Stegostoma tigrinum: one gene and its partner. The protein of the gene in region 1 interacts with the protein of each later gene in a pairwise test. Links are inferred from orthologs where the notes say so. Each region holds a gene or a part of one and is shown in the gene's direction. Other genes may lie near its edges.

Region 1 (10,236 bases):
AAGGGCTTGAATTATAAGGAGAGGCCAAATTGGCGAGGGCTATTTTCCCTGGAGCATTGGAGGCTGAGGGATGACCTAATAGAGGCTTATAAAATCATGAGGGGCATGGATAGGGTAAATAGGCAAGGTCATTTTCCCAGCGTAGGGGAGTCAAAAGCTAGAGGGCATAAATTTAAGGTGAGAGGGGAAAGATTTAAAAGGTACCTAAGGGGCAACATTTTCATGGAGAGGGCGGTGCATGTAAGGAATGAGCTAGCAGAGGAAGTGGTGGAGATTGGTACAATTACAACATATAAAAAGATTCTGGTGGGCATATGAATAGGAAGGGCTTTGAGGGATATGGGCAAAATGTTGGCAAATGGGACTAGATTAATGTAGAATATCTGGTCAACATGGTTGAGATGAACTAAAGCGTCTGTTTCCATGCTGTACATCTCTATGACTCTATGCTTACACAGTACTGACTATGTTTACTGAATGTGACAGTACTATGGCTTTAAAAGATGTATTTTGCCCCGTTTTTTATTATGAGATAGAGGTGACAAGCAGTTTATTTCAAGCCAATTAAGTAAACAGTTGTGAGCCCTTGGAGATTTTTATAAGTTGGAACAATAGAAGCAGCATGAATGGGTGGAGACAGTCAGGGTCCCATAGAACCATAAACCTGGGTTTTAGTTTAGCTTTCAGCATTTGTTGGGTTTTGAAGCTGCTAAATATCTCTTCCTGCTACAGCAAAATGTTTACATTCGCTTTCTCGCTCTCTCACGTGCTCTCACGCTCTCTCTCTCTCTCTCTCTCTCCCTGTGCCAGAATTTTCTCTTGATGTCCTTTCCTCCTGGACTGGAGAAATATTGCATGTGGACAATCTATTTTAATTTACCTTTGCCAAGGATGTGTGCATTTGATGTTACTACATTGGAAAAGTTGCTGTTTTGTAGTTAAACAGTCTATTATTCTGATAACTTTTCCAATAGAGTTAAAGTTATGCCAATTCTTCTTTGTTTTGTTTGTATTTTAACTGTAGAGTAAGAATATAGTGTGTTTTGCTTAAAGCTGAGTAGTGTAACCAATCAAATTACACCTGGAACACAGCACCTTATACTTGACTTCAAATAAGAAAAAGTTAGGGTCGAGGCTATCTCCTTGATATACTTGAAAGGGGCTTGGTCTGGTCTATAACAAACTGAGGGCTCTTAATGGGATCAAAACCTTTATTTCCAGGTTTGGCTTAGAATTATTGGACGATGAGCATTGGTGCTTTCTTTTTCGGGTGTTGTATTCAGTTGGTTTAAACAGGGTGTGCCTTGTGTAGTATTGGCTCTTTCAGTTCAGTTTTGCGGCGATGGAAAATGTCACTTCGGCAGTTTTACGGAAAGTGAGCAAGGCAAAGCTTTTAAAGTTGGCAAACAAATTGAAATTGGAGTTGCCTGTGAGGAAACAGGATATTATTGTGGCAATAATTCTGCATTTATAATTGCCAGAAATGCAAACAGAATCATAGGAAGTGGCTAAAATTCAATGGCAAATGAATTGGCTTGACTATGCAAAGGAAATCAAACAATTTGAATTATGAGTAAACACAGAGGAAAAAGAAAAAGGTCTTAGTACAAGAGAGGGAGAAAGTGAGAAGTTTTGAACTTCAGAAGTTGGCAATGAAAGGGGGAAGTCAACTTAAAATGGCGAGGGTAGAAAGCAGGAGTAGTGATGGGGACAGTGATGAAGAGCATACCAATCATAGACAAACGCCTGGTGGGGATCTGTTTAAATATGTCCAAGCATTACTAAAGTTTGATGAGAAGGATGCAGAGGCTTTTTTCATTTGATTTGAGAAAGTAGTATAAAACTGAAATGGCTGGTGACCATGTGGATATTGTTGATTCAAACCACGTAGAGCTAGAGAGGTATTTGCATCACTATCAGAGGAGGTAACTGGGGAATATAAGGAGGTGAAAAATGCCATTTTAAATGCATATGATTTTGTGCAAGAAGCCTTCAGACAATGTTTTAGGAATCTACGAAGGGAACTTGGTCAAACACATATTGATTTTGAAAGGATCAAACAAAGCATTGAAAACAGATCAGACATATGATGGTCTTAGAGAGATTGATATTTTGGAGGAGTTCAAAACTTCGCTTTCTGAAGTAATGAGAATTTATGTGGAACAGCAGAGAGCTAAACTGCAAGATTGGCAACGGAAATGACTGTTGATTATGAGCTAGTTCATATATCAAGGTTTGGCTTCCAACATCAATTTTACTCTGTGAGGGATAGAAATTGGGGAAAAGAGAAATCCCCAGGTGGTATAGGAAAATGAGACCTCTTTGAAGATAGTAAAGGTAGTTTAACACAGATTTTAAAAAACACATTTGGCGGGGGGAGGGGTGGTTGGGGAGAAAATTAAAAACCCTCCGGTGTTTTAACTGCATGAAGTTGCAGTGTTAATGGTTTAAGAAAAGCAATGGGAAGATGGATGTGACAAAACAAGATAAGCCAGTGGGTTTTATTAAATTGATAAAGGAGATCCCATTGGAAGCTACAAAAGAATGTACAGCCTAGTTAGGGGTTGGTTAGTAAGGAAGTACCAGATCTATTTAAAGAATTTACCTGCATGGGGAAGGTTTACTCATGTACAAGAGTCATAATCAATCATAATCATGAATTCAAACTATGTACCTCTAATCCCACAGACACAATCACATAACACAAAAGCACAGAAGTATGGACAGAGAAGTTATTTTACAGAAAACAAAAGTGGAAAACAACATCTGGTCAAGGGTCTGGGATTTCTCATGGTCAATAAAAGTGAATTGTTGATAGCCATGGAATGATATAAAATATGCATTTCTGATTGCTTTCGCCCTGCCTTTGGAAATTAAGCAGTCTAACTGAATACTTTTTATAGAAATTTAGTCAGAAATTCTGGGAAATGCAATTTCATCCAGTTCCCATGAACTTCAGCTGAGAAAGTAATTATTTGTGAATTGGATCCAGATTATTTGTTGGTCTGAATTCCTTGTTGTTTGGATCTGGATTACTTGTGGGTCCAGTTTGTTTGCAATCTGGAGTAGGATATCTGGTTGTGATGGATGAGTTGGCTGTAGAGTCTGTTTCCATGCAGTACTTCTCTATGACTCTGAAACACGATTTGCAGATCTGGATTGTTGGTGGGTGTGGGTCAGTGCGGATTGCAGTTCCTGGTCAATGAAGATCAGTGTGGGTTTTGGCTCCGGGTCAATGTGGGTCTGGGTTACGGTCTGGATTGGTGCGGGTCGCGGGTTCGGGTTATGGTTCTGGGTCGGTGTGGGTCTGGGTTACGGTCTGGATTGATGTGAATCCCGGGTTTGGGTTATGGTTCTGGGTCTGGGTTACGGTCTGGATTGGTGCAGGTCGTGGGTTCGGGTTATGGTTCCGGGTCAGTGTGGGTCTGGGTTACGGTCTGGATTGGTGCGGTTCGCGGGTTCCGGGTCAGTGTGGGTCTGGGTTACGGTCTGGATTGGTGCAGGTCGTGGGTTCGGGTTATGGTTCTGGGTCCGTGTTGGTCTGGGTTACGGTCTGGATTGGCGCGGGTCGCGGATTCGGGTTATGGTTCCGGGTCAGTGTGGGTCTGGGTTACGGTCTGGATTGGCGCGGGTCGCCGGTTGGGGTTATGGTTCCGGGACAGTGGGGTCTGGGTTACGGTCTGGATTGGTGCAGGTCGCGGGTTCGGGTTATGGTTCCGGGTCGGTGTGGGTCTGGGTTATGGTCTGGATTGGTGCAGGTCGCTGGTTCGGGTTATGGTTCCGGGTCGGTGTGGGTCTGGGTTATGGTCTGGATTGGTGCAGGTCGCTGGTTCGGGTTATGGTTCCGGGTCAGTGTGGGTCTGGGTTACGGTCTGGATTGATGTGAATCCCGGGTTTGGGTTATGGTTCTGGGTCTGGGTTACGGTCTGGATTGGTGCGGGTTGCGTGTTCGGGTTATGGTTCCGGGTCAGTGTGGGTCTGGGTTACGGTCTGGATTGGTGCGGGTTGCGTGTTCGGGTTATGGTTCCGGGTCAGTGTGGGTCTGGGTTACGGTCTGGATTGGTGCGGGTTGCGTGTTCGGGTTATGGTTCTGGGTCAGTGCGGGTCTGGGTTATGGTCTGGATTGGTGCAGGTCGCAGGTTCGGGTTATGGTTCTGGGTCAGTGTGGGTCTGGGTTACGGTCTGGATTGATGTGAATCCCGGGTTTGGGTTATGGTTCTGGGTCTGGGTTACGGTCTGGATTGGTGCGGGTCGTGGGTTCGGGTTATGGTTCCGGGTCAGTGTGGGTCTGGGTTACGGTCTGGATTGGTGCGGGTCGTGGGTTCGGGTTATGGTTCCGGGTCAGTGTGGGTCTGGGTTACGGTCTGGATTGGTGCGGGTTGCGTGTTCGGGTTATGGTTCTGGGTCAGTGTGGGTCTGGGTTACGGTCTGGATTGGTGCGGGTTGCGTGTTCGGGTTATGGTTCTGGGTCAGTGCGGGTCTGGGTTATGGTCTGGATTGGCACCGGTCGCGGGTTCGAGTTGTGGTTCTGGGTCAGTGCGGGTCCAGGTTGCAATCCGGGTTTGTGCGGGTCGAGTTTGCAGCCCAGGTTTGTGTGGGTCGAGTTTGCAGTCTGGGTCAGTGCAGAGCTGGGTCAGTGCAGGTCCAGGTCAGTGCAAGTCTTGGTCCGGGTCAATGCGGGTCTGGGTCGGTGCGGGTACGGGTGCAGTTCTGAATCCGGGTCAGTGTGGGTGCAAGTCAGTGCAGGTTGGGTTCGTGTCAGTGCGAGTACAGGTCGGTGTGGGTCTGGGTCCGGGTCAGTGCGGGTCCAGGTCAGTGCAGGCTTGGGTCCTGGTCAGTGCGGGTACAGGCCAGTGCATGTACAGGTCAGTGCAGGTCCGTATCCAGGTCGGTGTGGATCCAGGTCAGTGCAGGTCAGGGTCCGGGTCAGTGAGGGTCTGGGTCAGTGCGGGTCTGGGTCCGAGTCAGTGCGGGTGCGGATCAGTGCAGGTCTGGGTCCGGGTCAGTGCGCGTCTGGGTCCGGGTCAGTGCAGGTCTGGGTCCGGGTCAGGGTCAGTGCGGTCTGGGTCCAGGTCAGTGCGGGTGTGGATCAGTGCAGGTCTGGGTCTGGGTCAGTGCAGGTCTGGGTCAGTGCAGGCCTGGGTCCGGGTCAGTGCAGGTCTGGGTCAGTGCAGGCCTGGGTCCGGGTCAGTGCAGGTCTGGGTCAGTGCCGGCCCAGGTCACGGGCCCAGGTCAGTATGAGTTGGTGTGGGGTGCAGATCAGTGCAGGTCCTGGTAGTTGCTGGCCCAGGTATGGGTCTGTGCAGATTCTTTATAGCATCAGAGACAGTAGCTGTGCCTGTGAGGCAGTCAAGGACATTCAGCCCTGGATCTTTGCGTAAGCATCCTCCAAAGTAGACTTCAGGAGACACAACAACACAGAATCGCCAAGCAGAGGCTGATAGCCCAGTTCGGTACCCATGAGGATAAGGATGGGATCTTGGGTTCATATCGCACTACAGGCTGACCCCACCACACTATACAGTCTCACACACGCATTCATACACTGCCCCCCCCCCCCACATTCTGTTTCTGTCTCCCCCCCACACACACACACTCTCACACACACACATATACTCTCCCTCTCCCTGACATACTCATCCACACCCCCACGCACTCTCTTTCCCCTCCTCTCTCTCATACACGCACCTATACACAAATGGTCTCTGTCCAGCTCTCACACATACACACACTCTTCCCCTCCCACACACACGTGCACACAAACTCTCTTCCCACACAGACACTTTTTCTTTCCCCCTTTCCCTGACACACACACACACACCCTCTCTGTCTCCCCTTCACTCATTCACTTTCTTTCAGACACACATGTGAATCTATGGGGTGAATTTATATTTGCAGATACATTTTATTTTGCTCAAAAAGTGCACAATTTACAGACAATGTAGTGTTTTATAAATTTCTACTTTAGAAATAAAACCGGTCTGACTCCAAACAAGACCTCACACCTAACATGCGTTGTCTGACCTTTAGTATATATATTGTGTTTATAAATTCTGTGTATATAAAGATCTTTATGCTGATAAAATCTTTAGTTCTCTCAGGACAGGGACTTGAAAACAAGTTGACGATTTACATATACTTGTTAATCAATTAAAACCATCTGACTGACTGAAGATTTAACAGCATTTTCGGTTTGTTTAGTATATCCTCATCAGTGGTGTGACCCTTTGAGCTGTTACTTATAAATTCGGTGTTTGATACCACCTCTCTCACGAAGACCTGAGGAAGGAGTGAGGCTGTGAACGTTTGTGTTTTTAAACAAGCCCTTGGACCATAACTTGATTGTCGTGTGTGGTTTCTGATCTTGCCTGGTGGGGGCGCCGTCTGCGGCGGGCTGGCGGCCGGCGTTTGGATGATGGCGGAGGACAGCGAGTCGGCAGCAAGTCAGCAGAGCCTTGAGCTGGATGATCACGACACCTGCGGCATCGATGGAGATAACGAGGAGGAAAATGAGCAAACGCACAGGTAGTGGGCGGCGGGGAGAGGGCTGGGGCAGAGTAGCCCTGCGCTGGGCCGTTCTGGGTTTGGCGGGGGGTGTGTGTTTTGGGGAGGGGGACTCGGGGCCCTGGGCCCGGCAGGCTGCCTGTTGTAGGTTCGGGGGGCGTTTGTGCGCTGTTTGCAACTGGCAGGTAAACCGTTAAGACATTGGGTGTCTGCACCGTGTCCATGTCGGGCTAGTAAATGAAGATCGAGCCCCTGGACTGTGCAGGTTGGCAGCTTCAATCTCCTGCGCCATGTGGGTATGGCAGGTAATGTGGGGGAAACGGGGCAGGAACTGGGTTGGCTGGGAATCTGGACATCTTTTTCCTCCTCCACCGCCCTTGCACGGCTTATCTCAAAGCTTGCAAGGCGCAGAAATCAATGAAATGTTTCTAATCAGCATTTTACCAATTCCGTCTTCCTCTTCTGTAAACGGCCCCTGCCTCCAGTCTGCTGTTTGTGTCATGAAAATGACAGTGAGGTGAACTGACTGGAATCTTTAACAAAAAACAGAAATTGGTTGAAAAATTCAGCAGGTATGATACCTGCGAACAGAAAACAGATTAAAGTTTCGTGTCTGGCGATCCTCCTTCAGAGCTGCTGAGTTTTTCCTGCATTGAATTGAACCCAATGCCACCGGCAAGTTCATAAATTGATATTTTTTATTCTAAATACTGAGGAATGTTTACAAACTTCATAAATCTCTGTTTAGCCCTCAGTTGAATGTTCAGCAACGGTTCTAGGCATCAGATTTCTGGAAATGTGTAAAGATCTTAGAGTACAGAAGATTACTCTGGTGTCACAAAAGACAAGAGACTTCAGTTGTGAGAAGAGATTGGGAACATTAAAGCTGCTTTCCTTGGAACATTCAAGGCGAAGCGTTGCCTGCCAAGGTGTGGTGTTATGATAGCGTATGTAGGAAAAAAACGATTCCCCTGGCAAATGATAGTAACCTGTGGCCGTAGATTTAAAAGCATTGGTAGAAGACTTTTTTTGTTTATTCTTTTTGTGGGATTGGATATCCATTCTTAATTACACTTGAACTGAATGATTTGCTAGGCCGTTCATAGAACAGTTGAGATAAGTTATGTATTCTAGATTTATTAATTTAATTCAGATTCCACCAGTTGCTGTCGTGGGATTTGATCCCTGATTGTCTGGATTGCTAGTCCAGTGATGTTACTACTATGCCATCATTCCAAATCAGAAGAAATTCTTTATTCCGAATGTGGTCGAGATCTAGAATACTCTACCCTGAATGTTAAAGCAAATGTAACACACTGTTTTAAGAAAGGGAGGAGACAAAAATCATAAAACCTAATGTCAGTTAATCTGACATCTTTTGACGAAAATGTTGAAATTCATTATTGAAGTAGTAGCATTTAGAAAATTATATAATTAAGCAGAGTCAACATAGTTTCATGAAAGGGAAACCTTGTTAAACTGATTTATTTGACGCTCCTTGAGGATGTAATATGTAAGGCAGATAAAAGGGAACCAGTGATGTAGAGTGGAGCTGGATGAACACAGCAGGCCAAGCAGCGTCTTAGGAGCAGGAAAGCTGACGTTTCAGGCTTCGACCCTTCAGCAGAACTGCTTTTCTGATGAAGGGTCTAGGCCTGAAACGTCAGTTTTCCTGCTCCTAAGACGCTGCTTGGCCTGCTGTGTTCATCCAGCTCCACACCTTGTTATCTCAGATTCTCTAGCATCTGCAGTTCCTATTATCTCTTATCAGTGATGTAGAGTATTTAGATTTCCAAAAGACATTCAGTAAGGTATCACACAATTTGTTACTCTGCAAGATAAGAGCTGATGGCACTAAGAATAATACATCAGCATGGACAAAGTATTGGCTAACTAAAAACTGTTGTCTGAACTGTTTACAATTTTTATTAGTGACGTGAATGAAGAGACGGAGTCTGTTGTTGCCAAATTTGTCGATCAAACAAAGATAAGGTAGGAAAGCAATGTGTGAGGAGGCCAGAAAGCCTGCAAAGGATTATAGATAAGCTAACTAACTATGTGATGTAGCTAAATGGATATATTGTGGAAAAAATATGGGGTTTACTACTTTGGAACAATGAAACATTATTTAAGACGAGACTGCAAAATGCTGTGGTACACTAGGATCTTGTACAGAATCATAGAGTACAGCTGCATCAAATAGTTTGGAAGGTAAAGAGAGTGTTGAACTTCGTTCTTAGGAATTAGAGTAAGTCATGAACCCATTTTTGGCCCTACAGAATAAATCAATCCCAAAGTGAAACATGGCTTGATAGATAGATATATGTTTAACTTTTTCATTAGTTCATTCACATTGTGTTTGGTCATACAAGGCTGTAGATGTTGTTTAAGAACAGAACCTAAATTTATTGCACAAAAGAGGCAAAAGCAAATTAAACAATATCGAAGACAGATTAGCAGATTCTTAACATAAGCAGTAAAATAATTGTTTCCACCTAAGTGATTCCTTACAATTTCATTTCACGGACCCTGTGGACAGTTTTACACTTGTTTTCCATCTTCAGGTATGATTGTTTCATAATTCTGAGGGCCTAAACTTTTCTCAGTTTTAACAGCTTGAATACTTCCATTAAAGGTGTCTCAGCTTGGAAACACCTCTGAAGTGACTGATCCTCTGATCAGAGTTGAAAAAAGCTTAATTTCCCCTGCTAGGAGAAACTATTCTTTCTTCTAACTTGAACTCTGATTCTTCTGATGTAATTTTGAACCTTCCGTTCTGAAGCTGAAACTAAACTAATTACCATTATACGTTTACACCACCTTTTATAAATATAAACAAATGTAAACATTTAATGTATTAACACCACAAGAGGCTGATAGGCTGTTCACTGAAGTTACATGTCTTCTTATCAATGATGTATTTAGGTCAGTGTTCCAAAATGACCTTCTGATTTATTATACAAACATTACAGAACTGCCAAAAAAAGAAATTGCTGCTGTTTTAACGTCCACCTTCAAAGAATGATAGGAATGATAAATAATGGTAAGCAATAACATATAGAAAGGAAAGAGTAAAAGGAAAGTAAAGACCAAAAAGGAAAAAAGTAAGCAGAGTGAGTGTTCATCCTCCCAACAGTTCATAAGTCACAATCAGAAATGCAGTAAGTCATAATGGGGAAGAAAAAGATGGTCGACCAATTAAATATACTTTTAATCTGTTTTTATAAAGGAGGATGCAAATAACATTCCGAAGTGTTAGGGAACTCAAGGTAGAGTGTAAGAGTGGATTGAGTCAATATTAGTAGGGAAATGCTGTTGGGGAAATTAATGGTATTACAGGCTAATAAACCCCAGGGCCTGATAATTTATATTCCGGAATATTTAAGGAAGTGGCCCTAGAAATAATGGATGTAGTAATGGTTATCTTTCAGAATTCTAGAGGCTTGGACTAGTCTGGAGTATAGGTGTTGTATTCCCACAATTTACAAATGGAGAGAGTGAAACAGAGAATTACAGACAAGTTAGCCTGACGCTGGTTTTGGGGGACATGCTAGATTTCATTATAAAAGATTTTGTAGCAAAACACTTGAAAATCAGTCACAAGATTGGACAGAGTCAGCATGGGTCAGTCATAAAAGGGAAATCATGCTGACAAATCTACTAGAACTTTTTGAGGATATAACTAGTACGGTTGACAAGGAGATGCCAGTGGATATAGTTTACTTGGACTTT
Region 2 (9,556 bases), on another chromosome or scaffold:
CCCTGGGGCAAGCAAAACAGAGACAAGGGAATTCCTAGTAACCTGGTACTCCACGACGAAAGCCATCAACAAACACATAGAGCTCAACCCCAATATATACTCCACTGCCAAGGAAAACTAGAAGTGAGGTAACTCAGCTCAATGGACTCCAGAGTTCAAATAACAGAAGGGAAAACACATTAGCGTTTCATCAGAGGATGCACTGATGATGTTACCCAGCATCGTAACGAAATGTCTGCAGAAAAACAATGAACCAGCTTGACAAGCCAACCAACCACAAGAATTACATGCTTTAGGTACATGTAATTTTATTGTTGGGGTCAGCAAAGCACATAAAACTAACAAATTGGAAAAAAAATACAGTTTGTCACACCTGCTCAAAAGCTGTCTAGCCTGTGTTGACATCTGCAGAGCACTTGTGGACTTATTTGCAAGAAATCTGCTGACCTAAATGATAGAATAAAACACAAGTGGTCATCAATACAGTACAGAACCACAACACAAGGAAAATGCTTAGAAGATGCACAAGTACAAACACATTAGTGAGATTCATATGAGTGAAAGGCAAACTGCTGAACATGACCAACTTTCCATATCATTACTGTCACACAGCATTTCAATGTTGAGATAACCAGAACCTTTTACAGCTATTAATTATCATTTGTCCTGAGAAGGCAGTACAACACATATTAACAGCTAAAACTGACAATGACAGCTAATGTGAACATATCACCACAACACATCCTAAAAGACGTAACTCACGAAGTGGTACTTGATGGTACAACTCATGAGAGATCATTTCTCATTGAATAACAGATCACCAATTTTCCATTTTGGCAGAATCATATTGTGTGCCAACACTCAAGTTCAGCTTGGATTCCTGAATTTTCCATCTGATGGTTATCACTGGACCAGCAGTGGCAGGACTACCAGTATGCATACATCTTTGTATAGTCACAATTCAGGAGACTCACCAAACCATACCTGCTCTGGTAGAATGAACCACACAACACAATCGAATCAGTAAATAATCTCCAAAGATATTACTTTGATGAGAATTGCAAGCTAGGTACCAGGATGATTACATTGACCAGATTACCCTACACACAGAAAGACCAAGATGTAAGAACATAAGAAATAGACACTGGAGTAGGCCATTTGGACCCCGAAGCCTGTCTCACTGTGCAACAAGATCACAGTGGATCTGCGCCAGATTTCAACACCTCTTTCAGGCTAGCTCTGCCTAGGTGTCAAATTCCTGATATTTCAAAACTCTGTACCTCCTCTTTGAAAATGACACAGTGTGGAGCTGGAGGAACATAGTAGGCCAGGCAGCATCAAAGGAGCAGGAAAGTTGATGTTTTGGGTTAGGACCCTTCTTCAGAAATGGGAGGTGGGAAGGGAGCTCAGAAATAAATAGAGAAAAGAGGGGTCTCCACATTGAGTCTTCTCTGACACCTGCATCTGCAGTTCTTACCATCGGTGACCTTCTCTTTAAGTGATCTAGCCTCCATAACTCCCTCCAGGGTAGAAAATTCCAGACATTCACTATGCTCTGACAGAAGAAATTCTTTTGCTTCTCATTTTTAAGTAAGTGTGCACTTATTCTGCAATTATGTCCCTGATTTGAGATTCCCCCACAAGTGGGAACATCCTAACATCTACCCTGTCGAGGCCCCTCAGAATCTTGTACGTTTCAATAAGTTCACCCTCATTCTTCTGTTACGAAGTTGTGTAGAGTATTCATGAATTAGAAGGCAGGAAGTTAGAATATATTGGTAAAAAATGATAGTGGGGAAAAGCAGTGCATCATACCTTGAAAAATGGCGTTTTTTCACTGCTCAGTGTTAAAATGGATATCTGACCAGCAACTTGAAGTGCAGGTGCACAGAAACAGCGCCCGAATGGAAACATTTTGTAGCAAACAGCCAAGCAGCATTTTTACCAAGACAACAGGTCTTTTCAAATTTAAACCAATCAATTTAAACCAAGCCCTGAGATGCTAAAAACCTACTAAATTTAAATCTGATGGCGTTGGGAACAGCAATCCTACATGAGAAATATTGTTATGTCATCATGAGTATAAAGATGAGGGTATTTCAGGGAGAGCCAACTGCCAAGAGACAACACCATTCAGCTCTCAGAGAAAGCACAATATAATTAATAAAAAGGTACCATGGCAGTTCTTGCTAAAAGTCCTCACTTAAATGAATGCAGAGGAAAACATCCCTGACAGCAGAAACAGCGGAAGACAGACATTTGGTATGTGAGATCGACAGGAAAAAGGCTGGAGAAGGCACAGTGTTGCAGAAGACAGTCTGTGTGAACTTTGGAGAGATTAAGTTTTAATTTATTGTTGTGTTATTAACTGGGTTTATATAAGTGGGACTTGTGTTTATTTGAACAGCATTCCAGTAGAATTTAGGTCAGTTAGGGAGTAGTTTGTAGTCTATAGGAGTATTGTTTGCTTTGTTAGCAATTCTGTTATTTTGTTCATTGTTCGGGTTAAATAAAGGAATTGTTTCTTGTTATTTATAAACTGAATCAGGGATTTTCTTTCATTTAACCCCTCTTTTAACAGATTACAAGGGAAAGGTGAGCTTCCCTTATTTTTCGGGGATAATTAATTTATCAAATACTTCATCAGAAGTAGTCGTCCAGTGAAGCACTTTTGTATAGTCCTCAATACCAGTATACACATTTTTAAAATACAGGGATTAAACCGTACACCATATTCCAGGTGCGACCTCACTAAGACCCTGTACAGTTGTAACAAGGTTTTTACTGTTTTCAAACTGCAACTCTCTAGCAACAAAAGCCAAAGTTCAATTTCCCTTTCACAAAACCATGTTGATACTATCTGGTTGCATTCAACCTTTCTAAATGCCCCACTATCTCTTCCTTAATAATTTTCCTAATAACAGATGTTAGCCAGCCTACAGTTTGCTGCTTTCTGTTTCCATCCCTTCTTGAACAGGGTTGTCACATAAGCAGTTTTCCAATCCACAGGAACCCTCCTCAAATCCAGTGAATTCTCACGATTTTAGACCAATATCTTCACTATCTCTGCAGCCACCTTCTTTAAATTTTTTGGATGCAGGCTATCAGGTCCTAGTTTACCTTTAGCCCCATTAGTTTGTGAAATACTTTGTCCCTCATTATAGAGCCTACAACAAGGCCTCTTCTCTTAATAGCATCTTGCTTATTTGTATTCTTTGGGGTATTTATATTATCCCCTACCATGAAGACCATTGTAAAAGTATTGATTTAAAATCATCTGCTTACCTGTTTCCCATTATCAATTCTATAGTCATATCCTCCAAGTTCCTATGCTTACTTTAATTACTGTCTTTTAATGTACCCTTGGAGGTCTCACTATGTGAACGAAGAAAATTACAGCACAAGAACAGGCCCTTTGTCCCTCTAAGCCTGTGCAGATCCAGATTCTCTAACTAAACCTGTTGCCTATGTTCCAAGGATCTGTATCCCTCTGCACCCTGCCCACTCACGTATCTGTCCAGATACATCTTAAATGACAGTATCTTGCCTGGCTCTACCACCTCCGCTGGCATCGCATTCCAGGCACCCATCACCCTCTGTATAAAGAATTTTCCACACACATCTCCCTTAAACTTTTCCCCTCTCACTTTGAAATCGTGACCTCCTAGTAATTAAGTACCACACTCTGGGGAAAAAGCTTCTTGCTATCCACCCTGTCTATATCTCTCATGATTTAGTAGACCTCAATCGGATTCACCCTCAATCTCCTTCTTTCTAATGTAAATAATCCTAATCTACTCAACCTCTTTTCATAACTAGCTCCCTCCATATCAGGCAACATCCTGGTGCACCTCCTCTGTACTCCCTTCAAAGCATCCACATCCTTTTGATAATGTGTCCACCAGAATTGTACGCAGTATTCCAAATGTGGTTGAACCAAAGTCCTATACAAAGTCCTTTGCTTTCATAAATGTTGCTAATTTAGTATCAAAACTCAAATTTTCTCTGTTTATTTAGGTCTTTAGTTGTCCAATAATGGCTCCTAAAATCCTCTGGCCTACCACTAGTTTTTGCCATTTTACATGCCTTAATTTTTGATCAAGTACTGTCCTTGAGTGCCTTTGTCAATGTGTGGGTCATCTCATTGAGTCCTGTTTGACCTGGTTATATAGAAGTAAATGATAGATGGAGCCAACAGAGACAGAAAAACAGTTGAGTAGCAAAAGAAATGGGTAAAGGCCAGTCTGGGAGGATGAATAGCTGCTTACGGGGATCATCAGTGGTGAACAATTATCCACATATCTTCCTGTGCTGTCACACTTTTACTCTTACAGGAAGAAACAAAGTGAAGGGACTCTGTTGTTGGATAATATCTCCTGCTATTACTGTCTTTATCAAACAGGTCCTCTCATTTTATGAAGCTGTTCACCCACTTCCTCTCATCCTGAACATGCTACCTCTGTCAAACTACCCACCTGGCACCGATTTACCCAGCACTTTTACCCTCCCACCATTCCCATCTAACACTTATCTTAACATAGCAGTCGAAGAGGCTGTCTGATTCCAGACCTTTAAATTTCAGAACACTGTAGCTGAACTGCTTTTAAAAAAAAGGTTGTGGCCCAGAATTTTGCACTAGAAGGGTACAGGTCAGAATGAAGTACAAAGCTCCACATTTCTGAATGAGTCCTGATAGGAATCGCCTGATATAAAGTAGAAAAAAATGTGGCAAATCTGTGAGAAATTGCAAATCCACGAAAAATCTGATCCAACGTGTTTTGTGAGCCACAGAAAACTCTCTGGTTAAAACAAGGAATTTTTTTTTCACCTGTCTAGACCAAAGACTCCATGTAGTTTCAAATAGCAAACCTTCATTACGAGCTGAAACCCATACAGGGTAGTGTGTTGGTAGATCCCCCTATTTCTAAGGCAGTTCTACATAACACCATGCAGTGCTCCAATTTGTCAAACTGCTATACTGTATTATCGGTCACCAAAATTACCTGCAATGCTGTTGCCAACATCACGCGAAAGCTTAAAATCAGTGTGGGAGACGTGGCTCGAAAACAAACGTAAAAGCAGAAAGCGACGCGACTTTTTGTTTTGTTAAATGTGTCGGGGCACGTTCAAAAGAATAAGGTGCATTTTCGCTGCGGAACCTTCGCACGGCGGCCGGTGCGTTCCACCCGGAGTGTTGACAGCTCCGGGACGGGCAGCGGTGTGAGAAGTAGCGGGGGGTGGGGGTGGGGTGCAAAAGAACCAGCGGTTAAACGGTCGGAGCTGGACTCTTTCTCTACTTCTCTCCCACGGCTTCGTTGCCTCGGCAGCGAATAATTAACAGGTCAGTGGGGAACTTCCCCCGGAGCCTGGGTCACGGGCTCCCTACCCGAGATGGCGGCGGTGTCAGACCAGGCGAGCGATAGCGAGGACCGTGTGCCGGAGACTGAGGGCGGAGGAGGAGGAGGAGGAGGCGGGCGCGCGCTGGAGACTGAGTTCGAGCGCGCGGCCGCGCACGTGCAGACGCTCGCGCATGCGGCCGGCCGCGAGACTCTGCTCTACCTGTACAGCCGCTTCAAACAGGTGTGTGTGTGTGTGTGTGTGTGTGTGTGTGTGGTGGGGGGGAGGGACACGTAGACATTACAACAACAAAACTGTGTTGAGATAACACCTGTGTGGATGCTGGAGCAACACAGCGGCCCAGGCAGCGTCGGGGAAGCGGGAAAGTTGACGTTTCGGGTCGGGACTCTTCCGGAAGGAGAGGGAGCTGCGAAATTAATAGAAGGGAAGGAAGGAATGAAGGAATGAATGAAGTGGGGTGTTGGTCGGTGACGGCGGGTATGTATGTCTGGTGCCCTCCTTGAAACTGACGTCTGTTTCAAACCCACCAACTCCTGCAGCTACCTGGACTACACCATCTCTCACCTACCTTACAGCAAGAATACAATTCCTTACTCCCAACCCCTCCGCCATGTCCCCTCCCAAGATAGGGTGTTCCACTCCGGGACATCCCAGATGTCCTCCTACGTCAAGGACTGTCAACTTTCCCTCTCCGGTGATCGAAAATGTTCTTGACCGCATCACTTGCATTTCCCGCACTTCTGCCCTCAAACCCCCCCCACCTAAAACAAAAACAGAATCCCCCGGTCCTCACTTACCACTCCACTAATCTCTGCATCCATTGTATCATTCTCCGCCAGCTATATTCCCATGCCACCGCTAACTGCCTTTCCTAGGAACTGCTCACTCTGCAACTCCCTCATCTGCTGCACACTCCCCACTAGCCCTGCTACACTAGACATCTTTTCCAGCAACTGCAGGAAGTGCTACACCCCCTCAGCTCCAATCAAGGCCCAAAACAAACCTTTCAGACTGGGATTGATCTGTACATCTGTCAACTTGGTCTGCCATATCTGCTGCTCCCAACATGGCCTCTTCGACATCATTGAGACCAAGTGTACACTCAGAGACCGTTTCATAGAGCATCTGTACATGGCAAACGACAACACCTTCCAGCTGCCAACCATTTTAATTCCCCTCCCACTGCCTGGGTGACATTGCCATCCTGGGCCACCCCATAGAGACATCAAATTGGAGGAGCGATAACTCATATTCCGCCTGAGGAGCCTACAGCCCAATGGCCTAAATGTGGAATTCACCAGTTTTAAAATCTCCTCATCCCTGTCTTCTTGACTTGACACACAACCTGTCCATCTTCTCTCTCACCTCTCCATCCCTGCCATCCCACTGACTAATCCCCACCACTCCCTATCTGCACTCACCTATCACCTTCCCAATCCCTACCCCTCCCCTCTATTTATTTCCCTCCCCTATTGCTGAAGAAGGGTCTTGACCCAAAATGTCAGCATTCCTGCTCCTCTGATGCTGCCTGGCCTGCTGTGTTCCTCTAGCTCCACTCTGTTGTCTCTGACCCTAGCATCTGCAATTCTTGCTATCTCTGAACACTTCACTGAGTTTACCCAGCACTTCGTGTTCATATTTTCAGATTTCCAGCATTCGCAGTGTTTTGCTTTTATTTAAACCTGTCCCCCTACGGCACAGAAACAGACCTGTATAAAAAAAATGTGTTGGGGAAACTCAAGTCTGGCAGCATCTGGAGGAGGAGAGAAAAACAAAAAAAAGTTGCTGAAAAAGCTCAGCAGGTCTGGTAACATCTGTGGAGAGAAACCAGAATTGACGCTTCGGGTTGAGTGACCCTTCCTCAGATCTTTAGGAAGAGAAGAAGCAGGAGTTATCCTTTCGAGCCTGATATGGCAAGCATCATGGTCATTTCAAAGACTCCTGAAATTTCAGACTTAAAATGTTAATTTTGTTTCTCTCTCTCAGCTGCCAGACCAGCTGAGTTTCTCCAGCACTGTTCATGTTTCAGATTTCCAGTGTCCGCACTATTTTCATAGAAATCTAAGAATCCATACAGCCATTTGGCCCATCGAGTCAACAATGACCCTCTGATGACACCCAGACACACCTCCCCAACCTAATCCCTGCCAGGCTGCATTTCCCATGGCTAATCCGCCTAGCCTACACATCCCTGAACATCACAGGACAATATAGCATGGCCAATCCACCTAAACTGCACATCTTTGTGTACCCACAGCCCATGGATGTTAGTGTGGACCCAATGGGCCAAATGGCCTGCTTTCACACTAACAATTTCATGCTTCTTCTGATTGTGGGAGGAAATCGGAGCACCTAGTGAAAACCCACGCAAACATATGGAGAGAATGCAAACTCCACACAGTCCAAAAGAGGAACCGAACCAGGATCTCTGGTGCTGTGAGATAGCATTGCTAACTACTGAGCCACTGTGTCTCCCTCCTTTGCTTTAATTTGCGTGTTTTCCTGAAAAAGGTTGAAAGATAAAATGTGCCCCTGGAGCAGCTTGAAAGATGATGCTCACTTGTAACAGTTAAAACATACCTTGACAGTAGGTAAATAAAAGCCTCCATAAACATGTAAAACAGGCATCCCTGAAAAGGTACAAAGTGCCTAAAACCCACTAAAACAGTTGAGCCCAAGAGACGTGTGCCAACAGCTATAATGCTCACCACAAACAGGTAAAATCTCCAATATAGGTAAACTCTAAGGTACAAGTATGAATAGGCATAGCTCTCACCAAGGATTGTATAGAGGTGAGGGATAGATGGCAGTTGGGCAACAAGTATGAATAGCTAAACTTTTACGATTGTGGTAATGATGCAAGGGACAGGTAAAATTAAGTAAACCCTAGCAATTTGAACAAAAGGGCAAATCCATAATGGGTAAATGCTAGGATGATCATAAACAAGTCACAGAGAAATCAATACAAGAACTTAAGTTCCAATCTAAATGTAAACTACAGGAATGAATATAAACATTGATTCCCTATATTTGTTGATGAAAATAAATAGAAACCCTTCAGTAATATCCTGATACCTTATAAAAGATTTGGCCAAGGATAGCACTGCTCAAATAGTTTGTGGCTCATAAGTAGTTCCTGTAAGGTGGTTTACTAAGAAGTGACAGTTTAAATACAGCACATAATTGGAGTTGAAAGTGTAGATATGTAACTAGTGATAGATGAGAAGGTTTATTAGTTCAGAATTTGATGGTGGCCTGGTTTCTGTTGTGTGCTGCAACAATTACTTCCTTTTTTTTATGCTTTTTCCTTACTGAGTGCTTGTTTGTGCACTTTAATTTTTATGGATGTGCAGCCATCTCATGTCAATCAGTCAATCAATTTCATCTTCCCACTTGATTGTCCAATTTCCAAAGAGCAAGTATCAGAGGTAAGGAATGGTGGCCTACTGGTAGTGTTACAAAGCTGATAATCCAGAGACCTGGACAAAGTTTGGAAATGCAATTCCTCCACTGCCACTGATGGAATTTAAATTCAATAAATCAATAAATCTGAATTCATGACCACAGACCTACCAGATTGCTGTAAAAACCTATCTGTTTCACAAATGTTCTTCAGGGAAGAAAATCTAATTCTTACCCTGTTTTGCCTGCATCTGATTCCTGAAGTAAAAAAATCAGTTGACTCTTGACTATCTTCTGAAATGATCTGGCAAACGACTCAGTTTTATGCAGGATGGTCAACATGTTGGTTTTGCCATTGATACTCATATCCAACAAACAAATAAGAATGTGTCTTTAATTCCAGGCCTAGCCAAGTGGTAACCCTTTTGCTTATCTTCCTTTATGAGGCAACTTGTTACTGTTTTATCACCTCCTAAATGTCTTGTACAAAGCCTTTATTGATAATTTGGTCCTTGGAAGAAATAAAATCTATGCTGTACTTTCTCTGTATCAACTTGACTCTTTCTTATTAAGGGAGAATGAGAAAGTGTGTTATTTTCAAAATCATCAGTTTCTTCAGATCTTAAGAGAGTTATTTCCTATATGACTGTAAATCTGTATCTGGCTTAAAACCATAGGGGTCAGCGTCCTTTCGTGAGAGTTGTAAGCAATGCTCGGTATTAACCAATTTGATTCTCTTTGTATACTAGAACACACAGTGCGGAGGGTCAATGTGGGAGAAATAAATCTGTGACCA

What was found.
Region 2: the proteins of nmt2 (region 1) and acyl-CoA-binding domain-containing protein 6-like interact in binary tests that used the Homo sapiens proteins (3 or more experiments, as listed by UniProt). The link is inferred for Stegostoma tigrinum from reciprocal best matches to the Homo sapiens genes NMT2 and ACBD6.

The regions. Positions count from the first base shown.
Region 1 is NC_081355.1:112,691,692-112,701,927, forward strand, and holds the start of nmt2 (glycylpeptide N-tetradecanoyltransferase 2), read left to right. Parts: upstream 1-6,374; 5' UTR 6,375-6,412; coding exon 6,413-6,525; intron 6,526-10,236.
Region 2 is NC_081361.1:17,505,857-17,515,412, reverse strand, and holds the start of acyl-CoA-binding domain-containing protein 6-like, read left to right. Parts: upstream 1-5,045; 5' UTR 5,046-5,391; coding exon 5,392-5,580; intron 5,581-9,556. UniProt on the Homo sapiens protein: Binds long-chain acyl-coenzyme A molecules with a strong preference for unsaturated C18:1-CoA, lower affinity for unsaturated C20:4-CoA, and very weak affinity for saturated C16:0-CoA. Does not bind fatty acids. Plays a role in protein N-myristoylation.